Elephas maximus indicus: one gene and its partners. The protein of the gene in region 1 interacts with the protein of each later gene in a pairwise test. Links are inferred from orthologs where the notes say so. Each region holds a gene or a part of one and is shown on either strand. Other genes may lie near its edges. The genes, in order: MOAP1, THOC1 and LATS1.

Region 1 (7,966 bases):
AGGTCCCTTGCACAGGTGGCTGGAAGGGGTGGAAGGCACTGCCAGCCCTCAGGCCCCTGTGTGGGTGGCCAGAAGGAGGAGGCATCTCAGACCTTCAGGCCCCGGCAGGGGTGACTAGAAGGAGTAAGAGGTGCTGCAAGTCCGTAGGCCCCGGCATGATTGGCTGAGCAAAGGGGTGGGCACCTCCAGACTGGACTCCCAGCTTAGGGAGCAGGGTAGTGGTGAATGCCGCTGGACTGCAATCACGTGCGAGGACACGGGGCTGGGCGAGAAGGGTTGGGGTGCCCCACAAGCCTGCTGGCCTCTGACGCAGGGGGGCTGGGGTGGGTGCAGTGGGTGGGATGCATGCACTTAACTTTCACAGGGTAGGAAGCAGTCCTGCCTTGCTTTAGCCATGAGTGGTTGAGCAGAGGGGTGGGTGCATCCAGACCAAGAGCTCCTGGCTTAGGGGGTGGGGCAGTGGTGAGTGCCGCCAGACTATGATTGTGTGCGGGGAGGGGGCATGGGCAAAGAGGATGGGGGTGTCCTACAGGCCTGCAGGCTTCCAGCACAGGGTGCTGCGGTGGGTACAGTGGGTGGGGTGCACGCAGTTGACTTTTGCTGGGCAGGAAGCACTCCTGGCTGGCTCCGGCTGTGTAGGCAGTCATTCCTGCTTGGCTGCACTAGGTAATGGGGGTTTCGGCTGGGAAAGCTGCTTGCTTTGTGTCAGTATGGCCGGGCTGTTCAGGTACGGCTAGCAGGGCACTGGCGATCCATAATTCTCCATGTCTGCTGTTTCTGTATTGTCTGTCCTTCCACTTGGCGCTTTGTCTGATTCTTCACCTTGTCTTTGATGCTTCAGATTCTTGTCATCTATATCCAATTCGCTTGTTTTTTTCAGGTCTTTAAGAGGGATGCTATGAAGCATCTGACTGCTCTGCCATCTTTTACTACCTCCTTTCCTCCTTTTTGAGAAGCAGTAGAGTGGAATGATAAAGAGCTGGCTGGGGCTCTGAAGCTGGACATCCTGGGTTCAAATCTTGGCTCTTCTACTTATTATGTATCACAGGCGAGCTATGAATTCCTATGTGCTTCAGGTTTCACTTTGTCTGCTATAAAATGGGGCCAGTTAAGAGTACAATACCTGCCTCATATGATTGTTGTGAAGAATCAATGTAAATTTTCAGAAAACAGCACTTGCATCCTGCAAACTGTGAGAAAGTACTCAAAAGACATAAGCAAATATCCAACCCTCACCTAAACACAGGTATTTCAAACAGCTGCGGGTGCTTGAAAATCCAATATATTGGATCAAAAGCTCTATCATTTCAGTAAATAGACCTTTGGAGGTACTAAGGGAGATAAATGAGATTAACTGGAGAAAGATCTGTTTGTGCTGCTTTTGAGTTACAAAGGCATCTGCTTTATCTTTCAAGTAAAACCTTGCCCCAGGGATGTTCCGCCTTCTATCCTGGTCAAATCAGATGCAGTGTTAAGGTTGAAGTTGCTAGAAAATTTTCAGACTTTCAGTAGCTCATATACAAATCGAGAAAGAACTTTCTCAGTAATATTGCCATTTCCCTTCTGTGGCACAGCTGGGCAGACAGTACCTAGTACTGAACATCTGTCGTTTGTGAGAAGTGCTGTGGTTCAGTGGTTAAGAACAAAGGCCTCAGAATGCCTGGTTATTAACTCTGGCTCTGCTCCTTACTGTGTGACCTTGGGCAAGTTACTGAGCTTCTCTGCCTCAGTCTCCTTATCTGTAAAATCTGGGTAACTGCTATCTCCAGGACATCATGCTTGTGAAGTAGACGGTTGGCTGAAAAAAAAGGAAGACCCTCAAGGAGATGGACTGATACAACAATGGGCTCAAACACAGCAATGATTGTGAGGATGGAGCAGGACCAGGCAGCACTTCGCAGGACCAGGCAGCACTTCACAGGACCGGAAAGCACTTCATTCTGTTGTACATAGGGTTGCTATGAGTCGGAACTGACTCTACAGCCCCTAAGCACCTAACAACAACCGGCGTGTTGTGAGGACTGAGTTAATTCATGTAAAGCTCTCAGAACAAGGCCTAACAAGTAAGCACGCACACACAAAAAAGCAGTTATAATTATTCTTAAAATCTATCAGCATAAAACCTCTCTCCTCTATTAATGACATTACTATATAAAGATACATCTTGGTCTCATCCAGAAAAAAAAGAACTCCTAAAATCTAAACTTCAATTTTTAGTTATCTGTATTGGTACCAGACAAGAGGTGGTGTGACTGCAAAGGAGGTACCAGGATCACATCTTTATGCAACTGACCTACTGTCTGAAGACTTTTTTCTTTCTAAACTATATTAGCAATTCAACAGCTCAACCCTGACCTTGAGCCGGGGGCGGGGGGGGGGGGACCGGAAGGGACAATGACTTGATAGTATCTTTTAGAGGGGCATTAAGCATCCTGAAGGAGTCCTGGTGGCACTACAGTTTAAGAGTTCAGTTAACTGAAAGGGTGGCTTAGAGCCCGCCCAGCAGTTCCACAGGAGAAAGACTTGGAGATCTGCTCCTGTAAAGACCACAACCTAGAAATCCCTATGCCAAAGCCCTATGGGATGGTTCTATGCTGTCAATGTGGTGTCACTGTGAGTTGGAATTGACTGGATGGCACCTAACATAGCATCTGCTAGAGACTGGACTACATTTCCTCTGATATTTTCATGGACAAAACTTTTTCTCCTCTTCTACATGTAAATTATTTCCAGACTTTCAAACATTTAGTCTCTTAGTCCATTTTTTTAAAAAAACAGACCATTAATAATGACATAGCTAGCCCTTACCAAGAAGTACAAATTCTGCTTGTCAAGATGGCAAGCACTAAAATAATCATACAAATTCCTCATAAGCTGACAGAAAGCAGGCATAAACAGCTGGCTTAGTTATCACAGGATGCATTGGTGTTTTAAAGAATTTTAAAGCAAGCCAAGTAGTTGTATAAAATTTAAATTTTATGACCATGTTTGGACATTTTTACATTTAACACAATGGAAATGTTTATATTCATTCGTTTTTTTTTCCCCAGAGGAAAAATATTGAATCACCACTATGTTACACAGTAGAATAAAAATATGAGTTCAGGTGCTTATTCAAGTTTCTAAAGAATGCAAATAAAATACACGATATTACTTCCAAAATCTGACATCATCAACATGATTTTGTAGTATCTCAGGCTTTAGCTAAAAATTCAGTATAATTCAGATGAAGATAGCCCCCCAGTCACGCTTTTTAAAAAGCCCCTGCCCGACCACAACTTCCGGAGAACTGTGAAGGAACTGCAGTCTTGTGATCAGACTCCAGACGGTGCTGGCAGTTTGGTAATCAGTAAGGAGAAAACCATGACTGTTTTATGTGTCAATCAGTTGTAGTCTGCTGATCTGATTAGAAGCCTTGACAAATGCCTGGTGGCGATTGCAAATAACTGCCAGGCATATTGGGATGATACAGTAGCCCACCGTTTTCGGGTCAGCTCTTGTACAAGAATAGAGGAACAAAAACATCTGTAGGTAAGGTATCAGAAAAATAATTGTCCATAACCAAAAAGGCAGGGAAAGTAACCGAACTTTCAAGGAGTGTGTCCATGTGGTTCCTTCAAGTGGTTCCTCAGGGTGCTGCTGAATGTGTTCCAAGGCCAGCCTGTTATAAGTCTCACTGATTTCAAAAACATAGTAAAATGCCGCTGCACTTGCTAATAGATACAATCCCACTCCAATCCATCCCATCCGCTGACGGAAGTTCATCATTCTCCATGCTCTGTGCCTTGAAATTAAAAAAAAAAAAAAGTTAAAACCAAAAAACCAAACCCATTGCCACTGAGTTGATTTGACTCATAGCTACCCTATAGGACAGAGCAGAACTGCCCCATAGGGTTTCCAAGGAGCAGATGGTGGATTCGAACTGCCGACCTTTTGGTTAGCCGCGGAGCTCTTAACCACTAGTTGGGCCTAGTATTGTTATCATAGCAGCAATTCCAAATACACTGGCTTTATTTCCAGTGAGCTTTTTCCCTCCAATGAGTTTTAAAATACAAGACTTAACACATTTAAGGTTTAAAATAAGTAGATTTACATTTACTGAGAAATGTAAACAACTTACAGGTTATTTTATGTAATAGTCATGAGCAAGTAAAAACCACTGGTTTCTGTATATACCGAGTTCTGCTTTTTATACGAATCCCACAGAGTAAATCACCACCCTGTGCTTAAGCAAGTCCAATACAGGTCCTCAGGAATTAGCTGGAGTTAAATTCCCCACGCAGCATTTCACTCTTTACGATTCAAGTACTTTCTGACTTCACAGTATCCCTTTAGACGTGAAAACTCGGTTTTACGAGTCAAACCAAAGCCGGAGCCCCCAACTAAGAACAGTCACTCTGAAACACTTACAGTGGTCCTGAAAATCTTCCTGTCCCCACGGCAAGCGTTAAAGAGTCACTCAGCTCTGAGTAGGCAGGCGGCTTGGGCATTTCAGGGAGAGCCACCATAAGAGAACTCCCATGGGTCACCCGCCTCAGAGAAGGGTGAGCTCGGCCAGCCTGGAGAACAAGCTAACAGTGACTAAGTCCAGCGTGACTGGGGCCGCTCGCGCGGGGACGGGGCCAGCCTGTCACCCGGCCCGGCCAGCAGGCGCCGGCGCCACCAGGGCCTCCCCAGCAGCCGGCCCCGCCCCCTGCCGTGCGGCAGCGCCAGCCGGCCGCGACCAGGGCGGCGCAGGCGGCACCAGGCCGGGGCCTCGCCGCCCCGCAGCCGGGAGCTCCGCGCCCAGCAGTGGCCACCGGCAGAGCAAGCAAAGCGGGGCAGCTCCGGGCTCTCACCTTCCTGTCCCGGGTGGCCCGCCCGCCCGCCGTACCGGAGGCCGCCGCAGTCGGGGCTTCCGGCTCGGGCCGGAAGTGCGCTCGCCCCGCCCCGGAAGGCCCGCCCCCTAGACGTCAGAGCGCCTCGGGCCGCGGCGCCGCTGCTCTGAGAGCGTCCAGACAGATCTAGGTGGGGTGCCGGGGGTGGTCGTGTTGTCGCCGGTGACAGCCTGTGCCTTCAGGGGGCCCCCGTCCGGGCCTGGCGGGCCTCGCTCGCGCTCGATCGCCCAGTCACTCCCGCGGCAGAGTACCGGAGAGACTAGGTGGCCCTGCATCCCTCGCCGTCGCCCTTTAGAGCCTCGCTCTCCGTCCAGTCTCCGTCCGAGCCGAGGAGAGGTCGCTGACCCGCTCCTCAGGCCTGGAGGCTTGGGAGCCGGCCCTGGGCACCCCGAGCCCCGGCAGCTGGACGCAGGCGTCGGCCACTAGATAAAGGTGGGCGGGAAGCGGGCCCTGCGAGCGGCTCCGCGGGCCCCGGGGTCCGCTGGGGGCGCCCGAGGCCGGGAGGCGAGGTCACATGGCTGCCGCTGCGGAGCGCGGAGGCCTGGGTGGCCGCTCTCGGCGTCGCCGGGGGTGGAGGATCCGCGGGGCCTTTCGCGTCCTGCTGTGCGGCCTGGGACCTTGACCCAGTTAGCTAACTCAACTGCTTTGTCCTCACAGGCTGCTGGAACTCGGGACGTTGACGTGACATAGCTGGGGGACCGCGGAGGACTACTGCGAATCGCGGTGGGCATCTGCGCCCCGCCGGTCCAATTAGAATTTAAACCTCTGTATCTTGGGCACCATGACACTGAGGCTCTTGGAAGACTGGTGCAGGGGAATGGACATGAACCCTCGGAAAGCTCTGTTGATTGCCGGCATCCCCCTGACCTGTAACGAGGCGGAAATCCAGGAGGCTCTGCAGGCAGGGTTAGCGTCCCTGGGCCAGTACCGACTACTTGGGAGAATGTTCAGGAGGGAAGAGAACAGGGTTGTAGCCCTTGTAGGACTTACTGAGGAGACTAGTCTTGCTGTGGTCCCTAAGGAGATACCAGGGAAGGGCGGTGCCTGGCGAGTGATCTTTAAGCCCCCTGACCCAGATAATGAATTTTTAAACAGATTAAATGAATTCTTAGAGGGAGAGGGTCTGACAGTGGCTGAGTTTACCAGCGCTCTTGGGTATGGAAACGACCCTTTTGACCTAGACCAAAACCTAGTCCCACACGTGGGGGCCCCTATGTTGGCAGAGGCATTAGATGAGGCCCTTCAGCCGGCCCTGCAATATCTGCAATACAGAAAGCTGAAAGTGTTCTCAGGCAGCGATCCTCCAGAACCTGGAGAAGAAGGATTTGATTCCTGGCTGTTTCATACTACTCATATGATGAAGACATGGCAGGTGTCAGATGCAGAGAAAAGAAGACGATTGCTAGAGTGCCTTAGAGGCCCAGCATTTGATGTCATTCGTGTCCTCAAGATAAACAATCCTTTCATTACGGTCCCTGAATGCCTACAGGCACTTGAGCAGGTATTTGGGGTTATCGATAATCCTAGGGAGCTGCAGGTCAAATTTCTAACCACTTATCAGAAGGCTGAAGAAAAGTTATCTGCCTATATCCTAAGGCTGGAGCCTTTATTACAGAAACTGGTAGAGAGGGGAACAATCGAGAAAGAAGTTGCGAATCAGGCCCGCCTAGACCAAATCCTTGCCGGGGCAGACGACAGAACCCTTCGGAGGAGGCTTGACCTGCCGGAGGACGGCCCGGCACCTGGCTTATTGCAGTTACTGACACTGATAAAGGAAGAAGCAGCAGCTGAGGAGGAGGAGGAGGCCCTTCTTCAGGCAGGACTAGAGGGGAATTTCACCTGAGTCTTAGGAAACCAGAAGGGGATATCTGACAGTGAGCAGAGCATGAAGGTACAGCAGCCCGTACTCACCAGAGTTAGATCTGAACCAACCCCCGGCCTTGTGCCGCCAAGTAACTCATCCTTGCACAGTGCTCAGTATAAAACCTTTGTCATTTCTGTGCCTACTTAATGTCTCCTAAGTGTGTCCTTGACTAGAAAAAATGGAATTTTGCACTGGTATTTATATATTTAAGTTCACACCTGTGATGTTTTATATAAAACCGTACAGAAGGGTGCATCACTACATGTATGCAGTGCTCTGAGGTTGCAGGCACAGCTCAGGGACATGGGCTGAGCAGAAGAGCTTGCTGAGATGTCAGTTTGTGTAATGACGGGAGCAAACGTAGCATGTCAGATGGGATAATATGGTATCGTAGGTCGTTTTTAGATGTGTATTGTCTCTTATATTTACCATGAAATCATGAACAGTGGTTAAGATATTAAATATTTTGTGCATGAATCAGAATTTTATTGATTCTGTGCAATCAAAAAGCGGAATTACATGCTGAGGCTGAAAAGTTTGCAGCTGCCACCTCTAGCCCTAGGTGTCTGATATGCGTTGAACGGTGTACATGTCCTGAATGTCGTTTTAATAGATATTATACATGTGAATTTATAAAATAAAGGAATGCTAATGAAGTGACTTCTTTTATCTGTTCTACTTACATTAGGGTTTCAAGAGAGGTTTCATTTGAACAAATGGTCCCAAAAGCTTAAATATGAAAACCACTGAGGTTATACAGTCTTCGTCCCTCTGGACTCTCTTCTCTTGGTTCCCACAGGGTAGGAAGTGCTTTACTAAGTGAAATTGCTGGAGGGACCTGCTACTGAAGCAGTGAAACAATGGAATGAAACAAAACTACACAAATTGTCCTTGTGTGCCATTGAGTCAGTCCTGGCTCATAGCAAGTCTATATGACAGAGTAGAACTGTCCTATAGGGTTTCCTAGGCTGAAGTCTTCACGGGAGCAGATCACCAGATTTTTTTCTCCCACTGAGTGACTGGTGGGTTCCAACCACCAACCTTTTGGTTAGCAGCCGAGTGCTTAACCATTGCGCTGCCAGGGCTCCTTGTACACAAAGTAGTGCATGCCTCTGTTAGAAAAGCTAAATATTTTTCTATATATTTTCTCATTTAATCCTCTGAAAAATCCTGCATTGTAGAAAAACTCAGTTTCACACTTGTGGAAATGGGCACAGAAAGGTTA
Region 2 (7,911 bases), on another chromosome or scaffold:
TACATCACTGTTTACACAGAAAAGTCAGAAAATTCAACTTTAACCTATAGTTCTTCCTCAGTAAGACCTCAAGCCACACTCTTTTTATACTCAGTTGCAGAGGGCTCTTCTTCATTTATTAAACCAAACCCTTAAATTGCATTTGTGCTATCAAAATCCTTAATTATTATACAACGCCTACACTGACTATAAGAAACCCTAGTGGTACAGTGGGCTCCATAGGAGAAAGGTATGGCAGTCTGTTTCCATGAAGATTTACAGCCTTGGAAACCCTATGTGGTTGCTTCGAGTCAGAATCAACTCAATGGCAGTGGGTTTGGTTTTCCGGTTTTATATACTATGACCAAGTCCACTTTCACAAAGTAGCAAGTGCACTGTACAAAAAATAAAAAAAGGTGCCTTAACCATGTTTAAATATCCAATCTAACAATAAAAGCAATGTTTTTTTGTAGTAACTCTGGGATTAGTAATTTGTTGGCAAAATTTTAACAATTAAGGAAAACCAAACTTACAATTTCTTCTTCTAGAACACCTCTGAAAGCTTGATCAAGAGTGCATTTTTTTTCATTTTCACTATTAAGGAAAGAAAGACAGCCTCATTTTTTAAACAGCTCAGGGTAAGCATAAAGATTTAGGCAAACAATTTTCATAGGTGTCAATGCCTTACCTGCCAGGTAACTGGCTGAAGGTACTCAACAATGGCTTGATGTTTTTGTTGTTCAAGGCTTCTCTGGTAGACTTCTAGAAAAATAAAAATGGCAAATAAGTAGAAAGATTTTGTTATTATTTACTAAAAAAATATAATTATTAATATAGCTTAGTATGCCTAACTAAAAAAATGTTTATACCTGGGAAAAATTACCTATACACCTTTTTCTTCATGATCCTTATTCCAAATGGCACCAACTAATACAAATCCTCATCACTTTAAACCCGGCAAGAGCGTACTAGCTAGCCTTTCTCATTCCAGGTATCCCCTTATATCATCCCCTTAACTATCACATTCATGATGGCATTCTACTTTGGAAAAAAAAAAAAAAAACTCCAAATGGCTTCTTATTCATATGTTTTCATTTTGAATTTTCATACCTACCTCTCAAGGTCCTTGATGCTATCCCACTCGGTCTATCCAATCTTATTCCCCACTACTCTCCAACATGAAACGCTACACTAAATTCTAGCCATTTTTTCATCATTTTCTATCAAGTTCATTCTAGTGTGTTCACATTCATACTCCCACCTTCTCATCCAAATTCTATAAGTTTTTCAAGACCCACCTCCAGTCCGTCTTCTCTATGTAGCCTGCTCAGCACAGTCCCTGACATGTAATTAGCACTGAATAAATAACTGCTGACCATCTTAAAGTAGTCATAATTTAAAGACACAAATACTGTAAGGTCATTCGTTCTGTGAAAATTCACATACACTTGGAAAGTCACTGTGTTAGATGACTCTAGAGGAGTTAAGAGCTATGCTGAAATGTCCATTCCTGGCTCTCCCACTAATTTGTCATTATCATTATCGTTAGGTGCTGCAGAGTATCTTCCGACTCACGATGACACTATGGACTACAGAATGAAATACTGCCTGGTCCTGCGCCAATAGGCTGTATAATCTTGGACATATCTCTTACTCTCTCTGCTTCATTTTCCTCACCAATAAAATAAGAGGGCTGTCTTAGACCCATACTACCAGCAGCAGCAGTGGCATTGCTTGGCAACTTGTTAGAAACGCAGAATTTCAGGCCCCACTCCAGATACTGAACCAGAGCCTGCACTGAACAAGGTAGCCAGGTGAGCCTACTGCACACTAAAGTTTGAGAAGCACTGGACTAGATGAACTCAAATTACACCATCCTTTCCAGGACTAATACGACCTTGGATATTCCTAGTAGTTACTCTTAGCTGTTACTCTTCCTAGAATTTCAAGGCACCAAGGATGACAGAAAAACACACAAAAAATTATTATGATCACACAGACATTATATAATTCGTTAAAAAACAAACCCCACACTATATGGAAAAAAAAAACCTGCAGAAAGAAAACGACTGACTACAAAGAATAATTTTTTTTTCCACAGAATTTTCATTCTGGCATCACTATTACCACCCAATCACAGTTAAATACCTGAAGAGTTGAACCATGCCTTGAAATACTGGTACAAATGCTAAAGAAGAATACAGCCAAACAACTTAGGAAGAACAGTGTTTCTTCATAATGGGAGCAGCGATGCACAACATAAAGAATACTGGGTCTGGAGTCAGAAGAATCAGTGAAGTAAACCACTTAACATCTTTTGGGGGTCTCAGTTTCTATCTCACATACTGGTGATAATAAAATTTAGCCTATCACAGTGCTAGTCTAAGAGTTAAATGAGCTAACGTGAAAGCGCTCGGAACGGTGTTTCCCAAATGCTTAAACCACCCTTCTCCAACACGCAAGAATACGGTGACATCTGGTAACCCTTCCCAAGCTGACCTGTTTGCTTTTCCCCACTTAGGGTCGTCTTTTCCATCTATTGGGACTGAGATACGGAAGATTAAAGGGTGGTGAACCGGCGGCCGGTACAACCACCTCGGCAGCTTAGAAACTCGGGCGAGAACCGGTTCTCCAGGCTGAGCCACTCCCGCCCTCCCCCTTCAGCAGCTCCCCTTCTAGTTCTGGAGACACCTGCCCGCTAAGCTAACACTGCAGAGGAGCTGGACCGCACCGGAGGTATTCTTCCGGTGAGATCTCCACACAAAGCGCAAATGCACCCAGAACGCAGGGTCCTGAGACCTGCCGGCGGGAGGGCGGGGACAGGCAGCAAAGGACGCGCGAAAAAGCTAGGGAGCGCACCCCTCCCTATCTCCCAGCCTCCGACGGGGCCGGGAGTAGACGCCGAGGCGTACACACCTCTGTTCCCGCTCTACCCCAGGGGAAAATTCGAGTAATTTGAAGGACAGGAGAGCAAAGAACAACGCCGGCTCAGGCCTGCACGTTCCCGCCGCCGAAGCTCACCGTAAACCGCGTCCGCGCTTCGGGCAAACTAAACAGCGGCGGCGTCGGAGACATCTTCCCGGCAGCGCGCGCCCGCCACCGCGCTGCGGCGCCCGCCGATGACGTCAGGCCGGGAGCAGCGAGTTGGCAGCTCCGTGCGGCTAGAGCGGCCTGTGAACCGTGGGGCGGGTAAGTTGTGAGTTGAGAGCTTCCGTGGCGCGTGAGTTCGGGTGGGCGTTGGAAGTCTGAGTCGGTCAAGCAGTGCTTAATCCGCCTTCGCGGGTATGGCCCTTGGGGTTGGGGGATGTGGGCGGCCTCGCCCTGCCTGCTCGGCGTTGCCGGGCAGGGAAAAAGCGGGGTCGCCCACCTGCATCGCGGTGGTTTCCCTGGGGTTGGAAAGCTGGGTGAATGGCGGCTAATTACGGCCTCAGAGGGGCGGCGCAGGAAGGTAACTGGTGTCCGAGAATTTAAGGTGTGTGCGTTTGGTAGAAACAACGAGCTGCGGAAATGATGGCCGTGGCCGCCGAACCGTAGTCATTCAGCCTGAAGCTTGAGATTTGAAGTCGTGAAGGACTCTAGATTTGAATATTAGCCTTGTGGAATGAAATGATACTTGGCTCACAGGGCTGTTGAAAAGCTGGAATGAGATAATGAATACTACGCGCATTATAAATTGGTAAAAGCGATGTAAGTATTGTTTATTATTAATATTTTTACTCTTGGAATCAAGATGACTTTAAAGTCAACTTTTCATTTGACTTTACTGGCGCATAATAGGACTCTACTGAAGAGAAAGACGGAGCAGAAGTGCAGTACCCGGCGCTGATTCGAAAGTGGCTGGCACTGGGTCCAGGGCAGAGGCAGCCCTTGCAAAACCATGCCTCCTAAGCAGTTTCTTCCCTTTCCTCCTCTCACAAGAGAGATGTGGCCAGTGAGAAACCTACTGGCAGTAACACTCCGTTAGGGTTATGCAGTGCAGTAAGAGACACCGACCCCAAACTTTGCTTCCGCATGTACCTAAGTGAAGAAAGCTAGACCTGCTGTATCTTGCCTGTTCCTTTATTTACATCCAACAAGGATAAAGGAAGCTAATAAAAAGATAATTTCCACAGAGCCTTATCGCAAAGTGGAAATTGTGCATACTGATGGCTAGCTGGAGCATTGCAGTCTATTTTTAGAACCAATCAAATCATTCAGGTTTTATTGTATAACTTTAATTTCCAAATTAGCAAAAAGGATTTAGTTTAAAAATATACTTTGTTAATCTGAAGGTAATTGATGTAATATGATTATCATCACATTAAAAATGATTATTAATCTGGAACATAGCTGAGACCTCAGAAGTAAAAAAAAAATTTTTTTCACAAAATCCAAACCCAAGAAGAGCTGGGGTTTATACTAGGAAGGGCACTTGGATGTTGAACAGCCAGTTGGATGATATCCTTTGGCCATACTGGTTGCCCAGCACAATTCCTCTTACTTCAGGGGCCTTGGTGAATATTGGGCTACTGTTCCCATCTTCCCTACCATTTGAACAGAGTCCATCTACTGAAGAAGAAAGTGAGGCCAATGCATAGACACAGAGCTTAAAGATGAAAAAATAGACTAAGAAATGAAGAGAGACGAAGATAAAAATGTTAAGTAGGGAAGACAGATGGGTAGGAGGGAGAGATGATGAAAAGAGAGATTGATTACAGCACAGTTTGAGCACTGGACTTTTTCATGTCAGATGACAGCTCCACCACCATCCATTTTAGTTACATGAGCCAGTAAATCCGTTTTATTATAGCTTCATGCTGTTTGGAGTTGGACTTCATTTGCTATCAAAAAGTCCTAATTATGCCTGGAGCAGCAGAGGAAGAGGAGCCCTGATGGTGCAGTGGTTAAGTGCTCGGCTGCTAATGGAAAGGTCGATGGTTCAAACCTAGGGAAAGGTGTGGCAGTCTGCTTCCATAAAGATTTACAGCCTTGGAAACCCTATGGAGCAATTCTACTCTGTTCTGCAGGGTTGCTATGAGTCAGAATTGACTTCATGGCAGTAAGGTGGGTAACAGAGGAAGGAGAGTCAGGAATAGGAGGAGGATATGGAATATGTGGCTAATTGCCTTCATGAACAACTGCCTCTACTGTGAGACCAGAAGAACTGGATGGTGCCCTGCTACCATTACTGATCAAAGATTGTATAGAAGAATCCTGATCAAAAGGGGGAAAATGTAGAACAGAATTTTAAATTCTTATGGACTTCAGACTTTCTGGAGCCAAGGGCGCTGGATGAATCTCTGAAACTATTGCCCTGAGATAATCTTTAAACCTTAAACCAATAACATTCCCTGCAGCCTTAAAACCAAGTAATAGTTTAGCTTAACTAGTAAAAAAAAGTCTGCCTTGAGCATTATACTCTTTTAAAAACTATATATGGTGTCAAAGTGACAACAGCAACTTGAAAGATTAGATAAGAACCTTAGGGAGCAGTGAGTTTACGTTAATGGGGAAGAAACAGCTCAGAAAAGGAGGGTATGAATGGTTGCATAACTTGAAGAATGTAATCAGTGTCGCTGAATAATACATGTAGAAACGGTTGTATTGGTGTATGTTTTGCTGTGTATATTCTCAACATTAACAGCAACAAAATAAAATCATTAAAAAAAAAAAAGTCCTAATTAATGTAGGAGGTGAGGGGGAGTTTCATCTACAATTGTATGGGTTATTGTTTGCTTTCCTTTTCATTCCTTAGTCCCAAAATGAGAAGGTTGGACTGCCTGCTGAAGTTCTGAATGGGATGGATTAGCTTTTGAATGATCCAGTCTGCTGGAGATTATGGTCTAACAGGTGTATACACCTGCATTACCTCCCATGAGCCAGGTGAAGTCTAGTTGGATTTTGCCCCGAACAGTGGTAGTTGGTTGATGTTTTCTGGATACATGGGAGAAGAGAGGGGTGAATTGAGCGGTGGTAGATGTGAACAGGAGCGCTCATGTGATCAGGAAGTGACCGGGTAAGTGGGTGCTTTCTAATGCTGTAGTGATGGTGACTCTCAAATTATGTACCTCAAAACTGCCTGCCTGAAGAAATGGGGGCAGCATTTATCATCTGGCTTCAATTTTCATTCATCAAAGGCTGCTTCATGGAATGTTGCTGTTGGCATGTCTGAGTCCATAGAGGGTTCTCACAGGTGTTCTATGCAATGACATAATATTACTGAAGCCCTGGGCAAGGGAAAAAAAGATATGATGCAGCTGAGGTGAAATGCTGTCATTTTCACCTGTGTGGAGCTGATGTCACAGCAGTCGCAAGTGTAAAAGTGGGCCCAGAGGATGGGAGGCAGGGCCAAGGGATATCTAATATAGGGAAAAATTTTTTTGACTTCTTAATCAAAGGGGGAGCCAAAATAAATTACAGTCTTCACAAAATGATGTGGGATCAAGTATATCAACTGTATTTAAAAAAAACTAAAGGGTAAGCGTTAATAGAATCTAAAATAATAGATTCTATACCTCTAAGATCACTGAAGAAAATTAAAAAATATATAGATCATATAAAAAAAGTTAGAGAACAAAGGAAACTGCAGAATCAATCTCTGTATGGAGTGTGTATATGTGTATGTATAAGCCTTTATGTATGGATGTATATATATTTTAAGGTACAAATTACTGATGATAGAAGCAAAAATAGACATCAGAGGAAGGGTTGATCTAGCCTGAAGTTTATACATTTTGGGAGAGATGGTCTTTAAGAAGAAGAAGAATACAAATTATGGATAAAAAATTGATATGAAAGTGAATAATTTTGGGGAATGAGAAAAATGAAAGTACATTATAAATGTCACAAACATCGCAAATCCAGAAAAACTGCAGTATTATTTAACTGCCTGGTATGCTTTTATCATACTTTTCCTTTACATTTTTGAGTCCATGTTCTTTGATCACCTCATCATGTGACAATGGTTATGTAATATTTTTATTAAAAAAGAGAGGATAACTCGACCTTTTATTTAGCATAGTGAACATCTTATTATTGATAGTTTAGAAAAAAAAATTTTTGAGCTTCACAGCTAATTATTGGATATGCCACATCTGTAACTTCCTCTGCAGTTTCTTGCTCTGGTAATGCTTCTTGCTCTGAGAACTCCAGCCCTTTGGTACCTCTTAGTATGGCGCTTGAGAGCCATAGCCAGAGTTGGTCCATCTAGCCATGCCCCCTTCCCCAAGCAGGCCAATCCTTGGTGGGAGGAGGTAGCCATGAAGCTGGAATGTTAAGCCCTGTGGGTGGAGCTGAGCAGCATCTTTTTTTATTTTTTATCTTTCTCTTTGGAGTCCTGGATGCTGGATGGGGCTCACCATGGGGAGATTGTTACTGGAGGCCGGGAATATAGAAGATATAACAAATAGAAGACAAATGGCAAGCTGACAGACTTAAACCCATCCATTTCAGTAATCAGATTAAAAGTAAATGGACTCTTAAGTGCAATGTGGAATCCTGGATTGGATCCTCGAATAGAGAAAGGACATTAATGGGGAAACTGGTGACATCTGAATAAAGTCTCGTTATTTAATTGTAATGTGCCAGTGTTGGTTTTTTAGTGTTGATAAATATACTGTGGTTATATAAGATGTTAACATTGGGGGAGATGGTGAGGAGTATACAAAACCTGTGTGTACTATTTTTGCAGCTTTTCTGTAAATCTAAAGTTATTCCAAAATATTTACTAAAAGATATAAATAGACCAAATATCAAATTAAAGCCATATATTGTCAGTCTGGATTAAAAATCAAGACTCAACTCTCTGCTGTTTGTAAGAACACACTTTAAAAGTAAGGACAGATAAGTTTAAAATAAAAAGATGGAAAAAAAACCTTTGTAAATACTAATAAGAAATGTAATGTTATTATATCAATACTGGAAAAAGTAGCCTTGTAGACAATATTACCAGAA
Region 3 (7,079 bases), on another chromosome or scaffold:
GAAATAAAGTGAAGAAATCAGTGAAACCAAAAACAAACAGAAGAAAAGCCTAAAGTTGGTTCTTTGAAAAAATTGATACATCCCTAACAGGAAGAATTAAGGGAGAAAAAAACAATACCTGTTGCCAATATTGTATGTGTTGTGCCTCCTTCCTCCCAAACTATGGAAAACATACTGAAGTCTCCCTGATGTAAAGAATAAGCAAAAAACAAAACCATCCTCCAATTCTCCACCTACATCCTATCCACCCCCTTCTGTTAACTTCCAGACTTCTTGAAGAATCTGTCAAAATTCCATCTCCTCAGCTTTCATTCCTACCTTGATGGCATCTAATGACCAAAATGGCAGCCAGTGGAGAATGCCTGCACTAGACTGTGCCATGAATAAAATGTTACATAAATGCAACTTCTAGAGTCAATGTAATGCTTACATTGTTCCCCAACTGTATTATATACTTCAAAAGGACAGAGATGGTGTAGTGTAATGCCATTCAGCTATATGCATTCCCTCCTAATGGAGTCAGTTTTGCTCTTCCCTGAAGCATGCTGGGGATAAACTCTGGATAGACTTGGGCTGAGGTACAAGGCTGGGAGTGATGTGACTGGGCCGGTGGCCAAGGCCAAGGAACACCTTAGCGACAAGGAGGAAAACATCTGGGCCTGGAAGTGAAGTCCCTGGGAACACTGGCTTCCCAAGGATGTGGGAGAAAACAATGAGCCTTGGTCCCAGCTGGAATGGTATATAAGCTTATGTCCTTTGCTATGCAGTTGTGGAGCACTAAACTGGTCTAGCCGCTGCCCTGAGCCATGGTCCCGTTATAAACCATATGTTGTGATCACTGGTTCTGGAGCCTTTCTTTGGTCTCCTGGAGATGCAGCTGACCTTGGGTTCAGGTGCCACTGGGTTGTTACACAACAGACGGTGTCTTCATTTTAATCTCTCCACAGTGTTAATCATGGATTTGTGTACCCAACAGGTACAGTAAAAGTATTCTTTTTTTGAAAGAAATGGATCCTAATTTATTTTACTATAGTGAAGTGGTGATCTGGATCAAATATAAAGAATGAAACAAATTTGGAGAGCTGGCAGCTAATTTTAAATTCCAGATTAAATTACAATAGAGGCAGACCCCAGGTTATGAACAAGATCCATTCCCAAGTGTGTCTTTAAGTCTTTAATTTGTGGGTAACTCAGAATAGGTGCATATGGTTCTTATTTAGCCTTATTTTAGTGCAAAGGAAACCCTGGTGGCGTAGCGGTTAAGAGCTACGGCTGCTAAACAAAAGGTCAGCAGTTTGAATCCACCAGGCACTCCTTGGAAACCCTAGGGGGCAGTTCTACTCTGTCCTATATGATTGGTATGAGTTGGAATCAACTGGATGCCAATGGGTTTTCGGTTTTGGTTAGTGCAAGAAAAGGCTTGAACCTTTTTCAGTGATGTAAAAGCTGCACTCACAGCAAAGGAACGTGATTGTGATGAGTTTGCTGCCAGTAGGAGTTGGTTCCATTGTTCAAAGTGGGGACAAATTTATATAACATTAGAGGGCAAGTATGAGCTATCCATAAGTCAGATGTTTCTAACCCAGGGACTTATTGTATATGGAAACCATGATAGTTCGCACCCAGAGAAATAGCCCTTAGATATGGACCAACCACAGATGCCATCTCTGATTTATAAAATTTCACCTAGAAGACACCATAACAATCAAGAGGTGAGCATATACAGACAAAAAAAGTAGGAGCCCTGGTGGCCCGATAGTTAAGCACTCCACTCAGCTGTGGACTTAAAGGTTAACAGTTTGAACCCATCCAGCTGCTCTGTGGGAGAAAGACCTGAGGATCTGCTCCCATAAAGATCACAATCAGGAAAAGCCTATGGGACAGTTCTACTTTATTACATGGGGTCACCTAACAACAACAACTAGATGAAGAACCTCTTTATATAACAAAGGGGAATGATTGCCAAGATATATAATTAAACAAATATAAAACAAATAAAGCATGTCACAGAACAGTATGTATAAGGGGGGAAAAGGAAGGGAAGAAAAGAACGTAACTGTACTTGTATGTATGTGCATAGCATCTCTGGAAGGATGCACAAGAACTGGCAGTAACACTGCCTCCAAGGACGGGAACAGGCAGGTTGGGTAGACAGGGATTGAAGGTTTCACTGTTTCTCCTTTTTTTTTTTTTTTTTTTTTGCTACTTTGTTCCACTTGAATGTATTACCTATTTAAAAATAAAGTGAGATAGAGTAGTAAACGTCAAAGCCAAGACTTGGATGGTGAAGAGACAGGTTAAGGGGAACTAGAGATAAAAAAAAAAAAAGAGAGAGAGAGAGAGAATCAAGGGAGGACAGCAGCAGGGTCTGGCAAAGAGGTATAGTTCATAGCCAATAAGGAAAACAAGGTTACTGTGGACCATGCAAGCAAAGAGAAAAGCTCAGATTAGAAGTTGCAGCAGTACAGAAAGGTGGTTAGGAGGCACTGGAGTTGGCACTGGAGTCAGACTGCCTGAACTCATGTCTGGGTTTCCTCATTTAATTGCTATGTGAAAGTGCTGAGCTTTGTGGCTAGTATGTAGAAAGCTACCAATAAAGGTTAGCTGCTATGACTATCATGCAGACAAAGAGCAGCAAGTCAGGGGGTCAACAGTGGGCATGAGGCCAACATGCAGAAGTTTATGGGTGATTATTCAGGCAGAGCAGACAGCAAAAGTAGTAATCTAGAACACTGGACATGGGGGCACCGGACAAAGAACTTGGGAATGGAGAGGTAGAGACCCAAATATAGAGGGCAGGCAAGAGCTGGCAGCTATACTTACACAAGACAATGAGGTCAAGATTTGGTGAACAGGTAACTTCAAAAAAAACTGAGGCACTGACAATAGCTACAAAAGATACTGTAAGATAACAGGGATAAAAGTATTTAAAGAAAGATAAATATTGCGACCAACAATGTAGATACAGATGTCTAGGTTGTGATAACCGTGGAAATATTTTTTCGCCATTTAAAACTGAATTCAGATTTCAGTTGAATATCTACTGAAGATCTACCATTTGTCAGGCTGTAATTGGTGCTAAGAAGAGAGCAATCTGCAGAACAGATATTCCTACCTTCATGGAGCTTACAGTTTAGAAGGGCTCTTGGAATGTAATCTTTTCTTTCAACAAAGGTTTCCTCATTTGAACTTCCGGATACACTGGCCAGTCATTCATATAACATCAGAAAAAGAAGCCTTCAATTAAAAAAAAAATTTTTTTTTTTTTTTTTAGTTAGCCTTTAGTAGAAAAATGATGAAAGGAGGTACTTGAAAATGCTAACTATTTATTTTCTAGAGGCAGAACTGGCAAAGTGCTTCCTTACAAAGGATGGAGGGTACCTCCAACGATCCCATTCCAAGCTTCCGATTCAACTTAACAGGAAATAAAACTTCTCACCACTGGTCACTGTTATTCCTATTAGGACAATAATGACCTCCTCTTGTACTGATACTGGTGGCAGATAAAGGTCTCTAAAATATGTTTATTAATCTGTCCCGGCTCTAGGAACGTGTTATTTGGCTTGTTCGGAGAATACATATATGCTTTCGCTCACAGACTTACTCGGGGAAAGAGCATTAAGCAAGCATCAAAGTTTACTTCCAAGCCTCTAGAAATCCTGTATCTGATGGCCACCGCGAGGTACCAGAGAGCGACTCGTTGCTGTTCCCTTCTGAGAATTAAGCTCCTGGACACGCGTATCTTTATTCTATACCCGTTCAGAGCAAAAGCTCAATTGAAAGAAAGAGAATGAAATCCAGGAGTGGGCTTGGGTGGGGAAGAGCCCGACTCCACTAACGGAGCGTGTGTCATCTGGGCAGCGAAACGCGGGAGCGACGCGGCTGACACCAACACCCAGAGGTGCCGGCGGAAGTCGCGCGCGGGAGGCCGCAGGCAGCGCGCTCGCTCCCGGCCGCCGGGCGGGCAGAAGCCCCCAGTCCTCGGCCCCCGCGCAAGCGACGCCGGGAAATGCCCACATCCGGGAAACCTGCCGCGGAGCGCTGCGGCGGCGACACGGAGTGGAAGGCAAAATGGCGGCAGCGGCGGTGGCCTGGTGCTAAGGGGAGAGCCAGGTCCCCGCGACCCCCGCGACCAGCCGCGCTGGCCCGCGGCAGCCCCCCAGCGCTTCTCCCTGCCCTGCCCAGCCAGGGATACTTGGGGTCCCTGGTACGGGCTCCGGCCTCCTCGGCGCCCGCTCTCGGGCCCGTGGCCGCAGTCCAGGAGCCCCGCTCTCCCCTGCAGGTAGGTCCGCGGCGGGCGTAGCGGGTGGGGCCCACTCTTTTCGGGAGCCAGGGTTGGCGGGCGGTGGCCACCGGGGCCCACGCCCATCCTCGCTGGCGGGGGTCCAGGGGCTGCTGCGGACGGGCGGGCTGAGCCGGCCGGGGCCGGGCCTATCTGGGCTGGAAGCGTTGACCTGAGCTGAGCCGTGCCCTGGGGAAGCGTGTGTTGGCCGCGCCCAGCACTGGAGGAAGAGCCCCAAGCTTTTCGGGCTCGGAGGTGCAGGTTAAGCTGGGAAGAGTCTGCCTCCCTGGCGGCCTTGCGCCGACCGTTTCCCCGCCACCCCACCCCCAACACGCGAGTCAGCGGTGTCTGGCAGGGGAGGAGAGCCGAAGGTGGCTCCGAGAGAAACTAGCAGTGGGAGAGGTGCAGTTCTTTGGATCCCAGAAGCACCCGATCTGTGTATACATTGAAGAAATTCTATTATCTATTTCCAGTCCACTGTAATGTGGTTACTGTTCATAGTTGGAAGTGGTGAGAGAGATGGAAGAGTGTTTATGAAGAAGTGTGTATATAAACACAGAAGATGATGGAAAGAAAGTAAAAGGAACATTGCATATTTTCGAAGAGAGCTTGTAGCTCATAGAATAACTCTCAGGTGACTTGATTTAACCCCATACTCTCTCTTCTCCAATTGAAAGTCATTATTTAAGGGACCAAGTTTAATGTTTGTCTTTTTCATATCTTAATATGGCTTAAAATATTTATCTTCGTCTAGAAGTTCATTCATAAATTTAGTGAGAAGCATAGTCTCACACAAAAAAAATCATATTGTATCACTTCATCTTTGGAAATACATTTGAATACTTGAGATCATGGAGTTTGCCAGGCCACTATGGATTATTTATGAAGAGTAATTTTTTTTTTTTAATCAGTTTTCCTCTAGAAGGAAGAAAAGGTGGGATGTTATAATTGGAATTAGTATTCTTTGCTAAGGTACTGACATTTGTAGCTGTCCTTACCAAGGTTATTTCTTTCCTTTAATAAGTTAACAGGTAAAATGGGCTAGTTGATTGCCTAAGTCAGTGGGGGAATCTAACTGTTAAAGAGGTAGCATTGTGTTTTGATCGGCTGTGACTGCAAGAAAGTAGATCGTGGCACATGGTGGAGAAGGCACATTCTTTCTGTGCGTGCATATTGATAGACTGTGCCGTGCCACTCCTAAAGCAAATAAAAAGCTACTACAGCATTTTCGTTACAGCATTTTTTGGGGGTATGATAGTTGGACTTCATTCTGTAGGTTAAACTTTAAGTTTTTTATTTTTGTTTTTAAGTCTAGTCCTTGTTCTGTATAATACAGTCTGAAAGCAAACTCTGGTTACTTAATTGTTGTTTAGATTAGTGGAGCGTTTTTGTAGACTTCAGAAGTTGTTTAGTCACTGAACAACATTTTTATCAAGAAGAAATGGCAGTCATTTTTCAGCACATAAGTAAAATACAGTGATTATTTTCACTTTTGATCAGACAGTTCATTCTTAGAAAGTGAATTGAAGAGAATGTTATCAACATTACACAGGCTTTTCTTGAATATTCTTGTCTAAACAACTAAAACTATGAAGATTTTTCCAGCTAAGTAGCGGTACCTATTACTGTGGGCTATTCTCACAACTGATGTATTCAAAGCATTGAAACAGGTTATCTTTTTTGTAAATCTAGTTTAACCAAAGGTAAACTTGAATATCTTATTATGTAATGGTATTAGTTCTTTCCCTAAGTGTTGTCAAGATACTCAATATTTGTTTCAGTTTACTGATATTTGTGTTTTTGATAAATGTCTAAACTTTCAAAGAAATGGAGATTTTAAGTCCATTTAGCCTAACCAATTTCAGTGCCCCTTCAAAGATGATCCCTACCTGTTAAGGAGACTCAAAATGTAGGTGTAATGGAAAGATTCAGCTGGCTGTGTGACCTTCTGCAGGCCACTTTCCCTCTGTGGATCCATTTCCTTTTCTGTTGAAAAAAATACACACACGCATGTATGTCTGTGTGTGTGTTTGTATCTCCAAGATACCTTATTCTCTTTGAATCAGTGACATAGCAGGAAAAGTAAGACAAGTACATACGTAGGGCAAGAACATGTTTTGTTTGAACCATGCAAGGTGCATTTGAAGTTTTGAGGAGAAGGATAACAGCTGGGAGTTCAACGAAAGCTTCTTGAAGAAAGTGGTATTTCAGTGGGACCTCAAAGGATGGGTATAATTTCTACCAGAGGAGATACTGCAGGAGCTTTCCCAAGAACTCTTACTAGTTTCTGAGTTCATTATGACTCATGGCGACCCCATGTGTGTCAGTAGAACTGTGCTCCATAGGGTTTTCAGTTTCAGAAGTATATTGCCAGGCTTTTTTTCCGAGGTGCCTCTGGGTGGACACAAACCTCCAACTTTTGGTTAGCAGCTGAACACCAATCGTTTGCTCCACACAGGGATTCTGTCAAGGAGAATAAACAGGTAGTTAACACATAACATCGTGGTGACATCCTCCTTTTCAAAACCCTTGTTAATTATCTTGAACCTCTTTATTATCTTTATGATTGAGTGTATAACTTTGAGGCGTATTGAAGAACGGAAACCCTGGTGGCATAGTGGTTAAGAGCTACGGCTGCTAACCAAAAGGTTGGCAGTTCGAATCTACCAGGTGCTGCTTGGAAACTCTATGGGGCAGTTCTTCTCTGTCTTCTTATAGGGTCAGTGTGAGTCGGAATCGACTCAACGGCAATGAGTTTTTGTTTTATTGAAGAATAGTGGGGTTTTATCTTTCCTTT

Evidence for each region.
Region 2: the proteins of MOAP1 (region 1) and THOC1 interact in binary tests that used the Homo sapiens proteins (3 or more experiments, as listed by UniProt). The two-hybrid records come from large-scale screens. The link is inferred for Elephas maximus indicus from reciprocal best matches to the Homo sapiens genes MOAP1 and THOC1.
Region 3: the proteins of MOAP1 (region 1) and LATS1 interact in a two-hybrid assay, tested with the Homo sapiens proteins (2 studies listed by BioGRID and IntAct). The two-hybrid records come from large-scale screens. The link is inferred for Elephas maximus indicus from reciprocal best matches to the Homo sapiens genes MOAP1 and LATS1.

What each region holds. Positions count from the first base shown.
Region 1 is NC_064828.1:106,763,667-106,771,632, reverse strand, and holds MOAP1 (modulator of apoptosis 1), read left to right. Parts: upstream 1-4,941; 5' UTR 4,942-5,309; intron 5,310-5,534; 5' UTR 5,535-5,658; coding exon 5,659-6,720; 3' UTR 6,721-7,395; downstream 7,396-7,966. Other genes in the region: LYSET (lysosomal enzyme trafficking factor), read right to left, coding at 3,373-3,784, 4,411-4,508.
Region 2 is NC_064829.1:26,422,745-26,430,655, reverse strand, and holds the start of THOC1 (THO complex subunit 1), read right to left. Parts: upstream 3,086-7,911; 5' UTR 3,055-3,085; coding exon 3,001-3,054; intron 742-3,000; coding exon 668-741; intron 574-667; coding exon 513-573; intron 1-512. UniProt on the Homo sapiens protein: Component of the THO subcomplex of the TREX complex which is thought to couple mRNA transcription, processing and nuclear export, and which specifically associates with spliced mRNA and not with unspliced pre-mRNA.
Region 3 is NC_064819.1:220,990,978-220,998,056, reverse strand, and holds the start of LATS1 (serine/threonine-protein kinase LATS1), read left to right. Parts: upstream 1-4,031; 5' UTR 4,032-4,282; intron 4,283-7,079. UniProt on the Homo sapiens protein: Negative regulator of YAP1 in the Hippo signaling pathway that plays a pivotal role in organ size control and tumor suppression by restricting proliferation and promoting apoptosis.